3 linked regions of the Xenopus tropicalis genome follow. The main gene of each other region encodes a partner of the protein of the gene in region 3 in a complex. Links are inferred from orthologs where the notes say so. Each region holds a gene or a part of one and is shown on either strand. Other genes may lie near its edges. The genes, in order: ppp1r8, c9orf78 and akap17a.

Region 1 (3,658 bases), about 41 Mb from region 3:
CAGTGCATTTTAATGGTCCAGAACTAGGACCGCAGTCACAAACAGTCTGTCTTATATGCATATATATGTCTTAAATATAGCTACACTATTACTACTAGGATTATTGCTTTTTGATGGATGAAAATAGGACACAGCAACGTAAATACAAGCTAATATTCTATATACATTAAGGAAAGCATATAGCATGACCATAATGTTAAAGTACTGCCACATAATTATTTTTTCAATCTAACAAGTCTAAAGCATACCTTTTGGGCAGTGGCACATGGGGAGATTAATAGCTCGCGATAAATCTTTACTATCGCTGGCGACTAATCTCCCCGATATGCCATTTACACTGGCAAGAATATAACTTGCTGGTGGGATGGCATACGCATCCCTTTTGGAAGTTGCCTTGCAACATAACTTTGGGCGACTTTGGGAAACCAAAGCGATGCATATGCCATCCCACAGACAATTTACATTCTTGCCAGTGGAATGGCATACAGGGGAGATTAGTCCCCTGCGGTAGTCAAGATTTATTGCGGGTGACTAATCTCCATGTGCCACTGCCCTTAAGGTATACATTAAAGGACACCTGTAGTATTGTGCCCGTGTGTTACATTGAGTGAAACTCTTGACCTGGGAAGTGATGCATTGTTGCAAAAGTATAGATTATACTTACTGCTGTTGAGGTCTATCAGAAAGACCCTCTTCAGATGCTTGTGGTACACCAGGGCTGAATGAACTCTGGAGCATGACTGATGATCAATTGTAAAGTCACAAATATCTGGGTTCCTACCAAATAGGTAGTATTTCTTTTCATCAATAATTAGTTTCTGTAAGATGATGAAAGCAGTTTCTTAGATAAGAATTCCAAAAAAACAAACATATCTTATACGAATACTAAGCAAAAATAATTATTTTATCAATTTAATACAAAGTTAGAAAATGAAAGCAAAGATGCGACTGTTAACTACACTGGGAGTGTATAACACTTGGAATTGATCACTAAATCACAGCTGGTTTGTCTAAACTAAAAAAAAAGTTTCTACCAATGCCATCATATGCAGAAGTGAGGTGTTGCCTAACTTCCCTCTTATATCTGTGCCAAATTAGTCTTGCATAAATTGTAAAACTCAATCACATAAGGGGGCTGAAATCTAAAACCCAGGCTAAATCGCTGGCCAAATTTTTTTATTAATATACTGTACGGTCAGGCACAGTCAGATTGCAGTCAGGCGATTGGTGCTGCACGATCAGGCACAGTCACCAGGGGCCAAATAAAACAGCCAGAAGGGCCGTATTCAGCCTGCGGTCCTTGTGTTTGACCCATGTGCCCTTAGGCTAAAAGCTAATGGGGAGATTTGTCGCCAGTGGTTAAATATGGCATTTACTTTATTGCCAACAGGAAAGCGTGTTGGGAAGATGACATCGGCGGTAGCCCAGATCTAACCGCAGGTGACAAATCTCTCCATCTGCTATTAGGGGTGCAATTCAAGTTCAAAAGAAACACAGTTGTTGCTGGTGTGTTTGGTCATTTCAGTGGGGCTGCATATTCAATATTCTATAGTAAGTACTATTAAAGTACAGGTATGGGACTTATCCAGAATGCTTGGGAGCTGGGGTTTTCCAAGTAACGTCTTTCTGTCTACTAAAAAATCATTTTAACATTAAAAAAAAACCAATAGGATTGTTTGCCTTCAATAAGGATTAACTATATCTTATCTGATATCAAGTATAAGGTACTGTTATTATTTCAAAGAAAGAAAGAAATCCTTTATAATAATATGAATTATTTGATTCAAATTGAGTCTATAGGAGATGGCCTTCCTGTAATTTGGAGCTTGCTGGATGACAGGTTTCCAGATAACAGATCCCATACCTGTACTTTTTTTTGCAATCACCTGTAGGAAAATGTAAGCATTATCCATCTCAATTAATATTTGTACGTGATTCTTTACTATCTATGAATGCCACCCTTGCCTCAATAGTTGTCCCGATTCCTAACTCTAGTAATAAGTCACTTCTTTTATCGGTCACTCCGACTCAGACTTTGTGCATGCAAAGTTGCAAAAGACCAAATCATTTGCATGCCTACAAAAAGCACACTTCTTGTGACTGTCAAAAAATGCCTGTCACCTACATACAAATGAGTGTCTTCAAAGACTCCACATGAACAAGTAAGGAGTTTAAAAGGAAATAAATCTGGCCGTTCAAGAGGCTGGGTTGGTGCTTTACGCTTAAGTTACAATAGGTTTTCTTGTTGTTTGAGTGACCTATATAATGGGCAAGTGAAAGGAAGGATGACATTAATTTTCTATAGAAGAACAAAATAACCTATGATTATGTGGTTTTCTGAGCAAATTATGAGCATAATTTGCAATTATGTTCTAAGTCAGAGCAACAAATTCCACCTCATGTATAATCTAGTAAAACAGTGACATCTAGTGCTAGAATTGGCAGGAGGAATGCAGATTTTTGCTTGCTTTTACCAAGATTACTTTTAAGCACAGAAGCTCCCAGATATAGGAGTAGCCTGATTAACAACAACAAATATATAATTTAAAAAAGCAATGTCATACTAAAAATGCTTTAAAGAAAATGTCCATATTTCAAATTAGAAACTGTGGCAAGTCAAAAACACATCATTACTTATGTAACTTAACCATGATCATATCTAACACATTCACACAAAACGCATAGTCACAGTGCACACCCAGTGTATCCCTTGGATCTGTACCATAAGTTATAACTCAAGGTGTCTCTCTGCACTCTGAGCTTAAATGCTTAAGGTTGGGTTAATGTGGCACTCATGGAAACCCAGATACCATGGCATACACTCATCTGAAAGAACAGACAAGCGTGGGTATCCTGGCTCGTATCAAGTGCACTTTTAAAGGAGACTCAACATGTTAATCAGTTGCACCTTATTTGTATAAAGCTTCTTATATACCACAGGAATTAACCTTTTCGTAATGCTTGCCATTTTATTGACCATTTATATATAATAAGATCTTCTGGTACCTGTACTATAAATTCACTTAATTGTTGTAGAGCCTAATACACCTGTTCCTTAGTCTCAGGATTATATTTTACTGTATAACTTATACCTTTTCAAAGGAAGTATGTAATGAAGCTGAGATGCACAGCATTGTGGCCACAATGAACATACTGCAGCTGCAACTGTTAATAGTTATTGCAAGTAGGTGTACATGAACACCATACTTCCCTTCTGACAGATAAGACTTTGCAATCAATTACTGTTGACGCAAAAAGAACTGGTGGAAAAGGTAAAGGTGACAGAATTAACTTTATATAATTGACATTTTTATATAACTAACAACATATCTGTTGCTTACTAGCTACATAATTTTAAACTTAACCTTGTTTTCTAGCACTGCACTCCCATTTCATTTGCCTGTGTATGTTAATATTTGAATTTATCCTGCTCTGGTGGGTGTGGGGGTTTGTGTACACTGGTTGCCATGGTTACTGTGGCTGTTTTTTGGTACCATTTTATGTGGTGGGGGTATTTACTGTGGGTGTGGGCATTTGGTCTGTCCCTGAGGAGCAGCACTGGTCGAAACGTTGGAATTTTTTCAATAAAAACACTTTTTTTTCTTTTGTATCAAGCCCCTGTGTGTGCGGCACTCTTTCAATTATATTTTTGTTTTTG
Region 2 (3,758 bases), on a different chromosome or scaffold from region 3:
TTATATAGCAGTGAAATTAGAGTTAATTTCGTATACCCCGAACTCGATGTAAGTACATCTGCCCTCTATACGACAAATCACAGAAGCCGCATCCCCACCACAGATCTCTGCAGAAATATATTCACTTTACGTCCCGTATTTTGCAATCACAATGCACCGCTAATATAGAGTGTATGTTTAACTTAGCCCGCAATTGTAACACAACCTACTTACACTTCAAGGGACAGAATTAAGGCCGTGATTATACTCAACTAGCATATCAATAAGTTCTCGCTCGGCAATCTAAGAATTGTTAACCAAAGTTGTATCATAGCCCACACCCAGTATGTCAACCACTTGCTCCTCATATAGTTTCTCGGTCTGTTAACTACACTCAGTTACTCTTACAGCGTACGGAGCCTCCAGGGCGTCAGTAATTAATCGCTAGGTGTGGCTGGTTGTTTCGAACACAGCAGAGGGGGGGGGGGAGAAAGCATTTCTGTACTGTATTAATAACAATACTGTATTAATTAATAATAATAGTAATAAATGTGATTTAACAAATATAAAACTCATTTATATTCTGTGTAGTGTGTGCCATTTGTTAAAGAGACATTTTATTGCATAGGCTGCTTGGAAACTGATGGGAGGGGTCACTGGGTGAGGGGCCATTGGGGGCGTGGGAAGAGGGGGGCCCAGAAAATTTTGTTGTGAGGGGCCCTGTAATTTCTGATGGCGGCACTGTCAGCAGTGGGGTCCTCCTGGGTCTCCTGCCATAGCGCTTCATTTCATTTAAATGTCGCGAGATAATGCAAAGTCTCGCTTTTTCATGCGTATATCGGCTACATGTGCCTGCACCAGAGCGTATCTCATTCATTCGGGTGCAGGCACATGTAGGAGGCGTAGGGCGGAATTTTCAGCAATCGATTTTAAGCTTGCCGAAAATATCCGCCCTACACCTCGTGTGGCATTAGCCTAAAGGAGCATCACATGTTTGGAACAAACTTATTTATCCACAACGGTGCCAATAATTTTGTCCAGCCCATTTTTGGAGTTTTGTGTGACATTATGTCCAATTTGCTTTTTTCCTCCCTTTTTTTTTAGTTCTGTTCCAATACACACAAAGGAAATAAACATGTGTAAAGCAAAACATGTGTAAAGCAAAACATGTGTTACTGCAATACTTTTCTGTGAGAAATACTTGATTTTATGGAAAAATTTCTGGGGTGCCAACAATTTGGGCCATGACTGTATGTGTGTGTATATATATATTTTAATGGTTTAAAATTTAGTGGTTGAGAACAACTTTCCCTTTTTTTACTATAGCTTATACAGGAGCAGTGGCCAGCTCCTTGTTGTAGCTCCCACCCTTCCCAGCTGCAGTCAGGTGATCCCAGTGGAGCCAATAAAAGGGCAACCATATGGGGATTTTAACCTTGAAAGCAAGAAAGTTGCAGGTAAAACTTAGTCCCTTGGCTAAATGTATATTGAAGCAGTAGAATTCTTAATGAATCGCATAAGTCAGTGTAGGAACTGGTCAAAAGGGATGACTTTGACCCAGTTGGCCAGCTTGAAGTATATTGCAATATATGGACAAACAATCCCTGTTTTGCTTAAAGGGAAGGGCATTTCTTAGTAGCTTAAATGCACTGAATGTCTTAATGTCCTATATATTGATAATGGGTGAGTGCAGAGGATCTCTTGTTGTTGTTTCTATATATATATATATGTATATGTATATGTATATGTATATGTATATATATATATATATGTATATGTATATGTATATGTATATGTATATATATATATATATATATATATATCTTTATTTATAAAGCGCTACTTATGTACGCAGTGCTGTACAGTAGAATACATTAATACAAACAGGGTATTAATAAGAGAATAATATATAATAAAATATATATATATATATATATATATATTTTTTATTTTTTTTTTTTTTTACTACAATAAAGGCTACTTTTTTAAATGATTCCCGGTGTGCACCAATATTCACTAGATTTTTTATTTTTAATGCTTAATTGGTAGCACATGGGTCTTTTGACCACGCTTAGGAGTGCTGAATCTACATATGGTGTGTGTGTGTGTGTGTGTGTGCGCGCATTCCTCGGCCCACATGTGCTTGTTAAGTAAACACATTCTTGTACCCTGTATTGACTTACCAGACCACGCAGGGCCCCCCAGAGGGCATTACCCACCCTCCCCTCACAAACCAACACCCTGCCCCTCCCTTCCAGTGTCGGACTGGCCTACCAGGAAACTCCTGGTGGGCACAGGTGTCAGTGAGCCCTCCTGCTCCTACCATTTGGCCTACTTCACGGTCATACCCTATTGCTGAATGAAAACAAAGAAGAGAAATAGATGGAAGAATAGATATTGGCATGTAAATAAAAGAGACTAGCAGAGGTTGGTTGAGAAAAAAATAATTTGGAGAGTGAGCCGAGGGTCTAATGTTTTCTGGTGGGCCCCTGGGTCCCAGCCCGACACTGCTCACTTCCCCTATCTCTGCCCACTAACGCTCAGGTAGAACAGTGATGGGGAAGGGGGTTAGTTAGTTACACCTATAGAAAAAGCAGACCCCCAAGTCTGCCCTCCCAACAATGTGTTTATGGCTAATTGGTATCCATAGTAACGCGTTCTTGGAATAAAAAAAAGGCCTGAGGTAACGTTTCACACGAATACAACTTCGAGTATCCTCACTGTTGAGTCGCAGAAATATAACGAGAACCTACCTAACCTCCTGAGTTACTTCTTCAGCCTCCGCTTCTTCATCTGACGACGAGGCTTTACGCCTCCGAAAGTTTCTTCCCCCAGGCATCTTTCTCCCCGCTGCTGAACCCGGACACTACGGAATATGTAAACTTCCGGCGCGGTCTAATGATGTAATAATGCCAGTGAGAAGCTTCCGGATCTCCGCCCTTGCCTTGGCAGTGTGGGGCGGAGTTAGGAATCAGCAGTCAACAGCTGCGGTAACAGAGGTATCTGGCATCAGGCTGGCATGGCATAGGGAGGTAGGTTTGCTCCTGCACCCCGTATCCATGTACAAGCTCCATAACTACTAGAGGATTAATGTCTGTACAGGCAGGGGTTTAGCTTAGTGTAGCGGCAGGGGCCTGGGGGCAGTGCATCATATTAACCTTGCGTGTGTGTGTGTATGTATATACACACACACACACACACACACACACCTTCTCTGGCACCCCCAGGTATTATTTCTTCTCATGGTGTGCAGCTTACTAGCAACTTGTATCTCTCTCTCAATATAAATATATATATATAGGTAAAGAATGTCGGCACTCTTAGGATTTCCACAATAAGGCAAAAAAGTAAAGTTTTTTTTCAAATGCAAGCGGTGAGATTTATTGTTTCCAACGTTTCAGTCCTTTACTAGGACTTTCGTCAGGGAGTGCAATGTCTTTGCCTTCCTGCACTCCCTGACGAAAGTCCTAGTAAAGGACTGAAACGTTGGAAACAATAAATCTCACCGCTTGCATTTGAAAAAAAACTTTACTTTTTTGCCTTATTGTGGAAATCCTAAGAGTGCCGACATTCTTTACCTATCTACAGATTTTATAGCTCTGGCACCTAGGTTTACTCTCATTTTATGGTGTGCCTCCCACTCTGGACTGTATATATATATATATATATATATATATATATATACCTTTTTAAAGGTCCCAAAAGGGACCGAAACGTCAGTTGTACATGCAATTATAATACTATAATATTTGTTTGAACCACAAGACCCTTGGTGCTGG
Region 3 (3,758 bases):
TTCCCATCAAGAGCTGCTAGAAAAGTCTTTACTAAACTTTTGTTCTCTACTTCCCCTTCAAATCTGATGAAGTCCATGGTGCTTTTTGAAATGCGTAAGGTGGAAAATTGATGGTTGTTCACCATGCCTTTCAGACGTTCCATTACTTCCCAGTTAGATATGGACTTTCCAGGTTGCTTCAGCTGCGGTAGTGCCACGCTGATAATCATCTTTGTGATAGGCTTCAAGTAAAGCCCACAAGAGCCACACAGCTCTACAGCTTCCGATGTATCATGCACTATCGTAGCTGCAGCCATAATCTTGAAGGGGCTGTTAATATATAAAGTAGAAATGTTAGGTAATATCTGCAACTTCTTTTATTAAAATGTTGCCTTTAAAATCAAAAGACAAGCAAGTGAAATAATTTATATGTACCAAATTACACAGCACATATTCCTAATATATTAACAAGCATCCCATTTGTAAATAAAACAGACCTCAAATACTGTGTGTACTGCATACAGCTGCTACAAATGGCTGCATCCATACCAGCAAGTGAGACTGACTGTGACACCCTTGACTCAACTATGCCCCACTTACATTCACAGATGAAGGTAATTATGTACATTCACACTTATGATTATTGCTCTCTCTGCATCTCAGCAAAGGGTTCATACTGTCACTGTGATTGATTTTTAGAAAAGGTACCAGAGAAATGAGTAATTAAACGGTTACCCTACCAAACTCAATTGCTAGGTTGGTAGTTTTACATATCAGAAGGCAAAATGCAACACTGAATAATTATAACATGGTCTACAGGATATTTGAGCAATGGCAAACATGGCATCATATTTTTAGCAAGTCAATTTCCCAGACAAGATGCAGCGTAGCTGCACAGCCATCTCATTAGATTTTGAAAGAGAACTGAACCCTAAATAAGAATCTGTCTAGAAATGCTGTACTCTGTATTAAGAATTTGCTGTATGGGCCAAGAACTTTCTCACAGCTGTAACAGTAATGTTTCAGGCCTTCAGTGTTCAAAGCAGCTCCATATCATGAAATCTAGTTAGGCCATCTTTTGAGTGTCAGTGACATTGCACATGCTCAGTGTGCTCTGGGGTACTGCAGAGAAGCTAAGCTTAGGGTTCAACTCAATTCATAAAAACATTACAGAAAATAAGTTCACATCTGTTACAGAGGCTGATGCTACAGGGCTAACGCCAATTCTGCTGCACTGATTTCTGCGCTGCCATATACTGTGATCTGGGATATAATACCTGAATGTGCTGCCATATACTGTGAATTTGGATATAATACCTGAATGTGTTGCCATATACTGTGAATTTGGATATAATACCTGAATGTGCTGCCATATACTGTGATCTTGGATATAATACCTGAATGTGCTGCCATATACTGTGAATTTGGATATACGGTAATACCTGAATGTGCTGCCATATACTGTGAATTTGGATATAATACCTGAATGTGCTGCCATATACTGTGAATGGGATATAATACCTGAATGTGCTGCCATATACTGTGAATTTGGATATAATACCTGAATGTGCTGCCATATACTGTGATATGGGATATAATACCTGAATGTGCTGCCATATACTGTGAATTTGGATATAATAGCTGAATGTGCTGCCATATACTGTGAATTTGGATATAATACCTGAATGTGCTGCCATATACTGTGATCTTGGATATAATACCTGAATGTGCTGCCATATACTGCGAATTTGGATATAACACCTGAATGTGCTGCCATATACTGTGAATTTGGATATAATACCTGAATGTGCTGCCATATACTGTGAATTTGGATATAATACCTGCACTGTATTGTGCATTGTCACTAAACTCGGGTATCTGACCAGCAGCAAAATATGGGGAGCATTTTCAGAGGCATAAAGTCTTTCTAGCAGGTACACAAAACAAAATGAACTGTAGCATTCCTAGTCTAATTCATTGTTGAGGTTCAGTTCCCCTCAAACAAACCAGCAAGCGGAAGGCTTTGCGTGTGACATCCCGTATTGTTGTTTTCCCTACGCGCATGAATCCCAAGGAGAGGTAGTACAGGGCAGGTGCATACCGCTCTCCCGCTTTCCGTAACACAACCCGGAGTCCCAGACGGCTGCTTAAACGTCCCGAAACGCCATTAGCGCCCTACTCTCTAGATCCTGCCGTACAGCCAACTCCAACGTTCCGCCGCTCATCTCGCGAGACTATGATGTCACGGAGCCACGCAGAGCAGCGCAGTGACGCTAAATCCTTCCGCCGTGAGGCTCTGTCGTGCAAGGTGTCACGCAATCATGTCTGTGGGGGCTGCAGCAGGTCCCACTGCCCGCATTTCCTGAATTAGAGTGGGCTTCAGCTCCCAATATTTGGCCATTCATTGCTTTCTTCACTTTCTCTCCTCCTTACACATTTTAGAAATTACACCTGTGCCAGGAACAAAAAAACCTCCTCCTCAGGGTGGGGGAGCATATTTTTCACACTACATGGTCAGAACAAGGGTAAAACGGAAGTTGTATTTTACTCTTCCTTTATACTTTTATAAACTTGGAATTGTGCAGGTTCCTTCCCTAAGAAAGTTCTGGAACCCAAAAGAACATTGGCAGGGAGTTCCCAAACAAAATGAGACCCATTTCTTTGCTGCTTGCCAGCAATACCCACTACCACTGGTGCCTCTGCTCCCAAAAAATAGTAATTCATGTTCAAATTAAGGCAAAGTGAAATGAAGTAATCTATTTTTCTGAGCTTTTTGTGCAAATGAGGCAGATGTTTCACAGATTAGGGACAAAAGGGCTAATTTAGCAGAATACAACGAAAAGTTAACAAGGTTTTAGGCTCTTTTGTTTTATCCTTGGCTGAAACAGAAAGGCAGGAGCCTCTGCCATAAAAAAAAAATGTGCCAGTGAATTATACTCCTCTAAATATAGAAAGGTTGTGCTTAAAAAGTTGTGCTTGAACTGATTTATTGAGAAATTCCACCTAAACCCCACTAGTATGGGCCATCTGTCCCACTTCCTGCTGGGTGAATTCTCTGGATGTGCAGGGGAGCCACAGGCTCTCAGTACAGATACTGTAGTAAAGGGACCAATCAGCAGCTAGGCTGACCTGATAGGGAACTGAAGCCTGTCTTTGCTTGTGTGAGTGCAGGGCTGTGATTGGCTATCCCCCTCCTACTGTGCTTCTGGCAGGGACCGTTAGGACACGCCCACTCTTCATTTCAAACTCGGACAGAGAACTGATAGGATCTATAGGGAGCTCCAATAAAGGGGCCATTTTTACAGACTGTATTTAATTTTAGCCCAAAGTGAAACCAGCACCATATATTATTCATAATTGCCTACAAAATAAGGGTTTTTCCATTTATCCAATGAGTGTGTAGGGACAGAGGCAGCAGGGAATGTGTGATTTTAGAAGAAGAGAGAAGGGGTGGCACTCGGGTTCAACTTGCATAGATGTTGGTTTGCCTTAGGGCTAAACTACATGGGAGATTTTGTAGAATGGTACAAGTTGGATGTAGATGCATGGGTCAAACTAATCAGAATGATAGAAAAATGTGATGTGCAAACTACATGGAGTATTTGCCATCCAAATGGAACACTGCATGCTTAGTCTGCATCTAACAAGATAAAGCTTATGTTTTTAAAGGACTTTATCTCTTGTTGAAATACATTTGCTGTTGGATCTAGATGCGAAACTCACCATCCTATTTTGACTGATACAACTTGCTTAGCTGCTGTGGGGATAATATTTTGTAG

Evidence for each region.
Region 1: akap17a (region 3) and ppp1r8 share a complex: the UniProt entries of both Homo sapiens proteins name them as parts of the spliceosome. The link is inferred for Xenopus tropicalis from reciprocal best matches to the Homo sapiens genes AKAP17A and PPP1R8.
Region 2: akap17a (region 3) and c9orf78 share a complex: the UniProt entries of both Homo sapiens proteins name them as parts of the spliceosome. The link is inferred for Xenopus tropicalis from reciprocal best matches to the Homo sapiens genes AKAP17A and C9orf78.

What each region holds. Positions count from the first base shown.
Region 1 is NC_030678.2:79,515,113-79,518,770, forward strand, and holds part of ppp1r8 (nuclear inhibitor of protein phosphatase 1), read right to left. Parts: intron 2,874-3,658; exon of another isoform or gene 2,715-2,873; intron 819-2,714; coding exon 665-818; intron 1-664. UniProt on the Homo sapiens protein: Inhibitor subunit of the major nuclear protein phosphatase-1 (PP-1). It has RNA-binding activity but does not cleave RNA and may target PP-1 to RNA-associated substrates. May also be involved in pre-mRNA splicing.
Region 2 is NC_030684.2:22,434,110-22,437,867, forward strand, and holds the start of c9orf78 (uncharacterized protein C9orf78 homolog), read right to left. Parts: upstream 2,830-3,758; 5' UTR 2,819-2,829; coding exon 2,733-2,818; intron 1-2,732. Other genes in the region: usp20 (ubiquitin carboxyl-terminal hydrolase 20), read left to right, coding at 2,889-3,011. UniProt on the Homo sapiens protein: Plays a role in pre-mRNA splicing by promoting usage of the upstream 3'-splice site at alternative NAGNAG splice sites; these are sites featuring alternative acceptor motifs separated by only a few nucleotides. May also modulate exon inclusion events.
Region 3 is NC_030678.2:38,922,139-38,925,896, reverse strand, and holds the start of akap17a (A-kinase anchor protein 17A), read right to left. Parts: upstream 2,199-3,758; 5' UTR 2,081-2,198; intron 310-2,080; 5' UTR 297-309; coding exon 1-296. UniProt on the Homo sapiens protein: Splice factor regulating alternative splice site selection for certain mRNA precursors. Mediates regulation of pre-mRNA splicing in a PKA-dependent manner.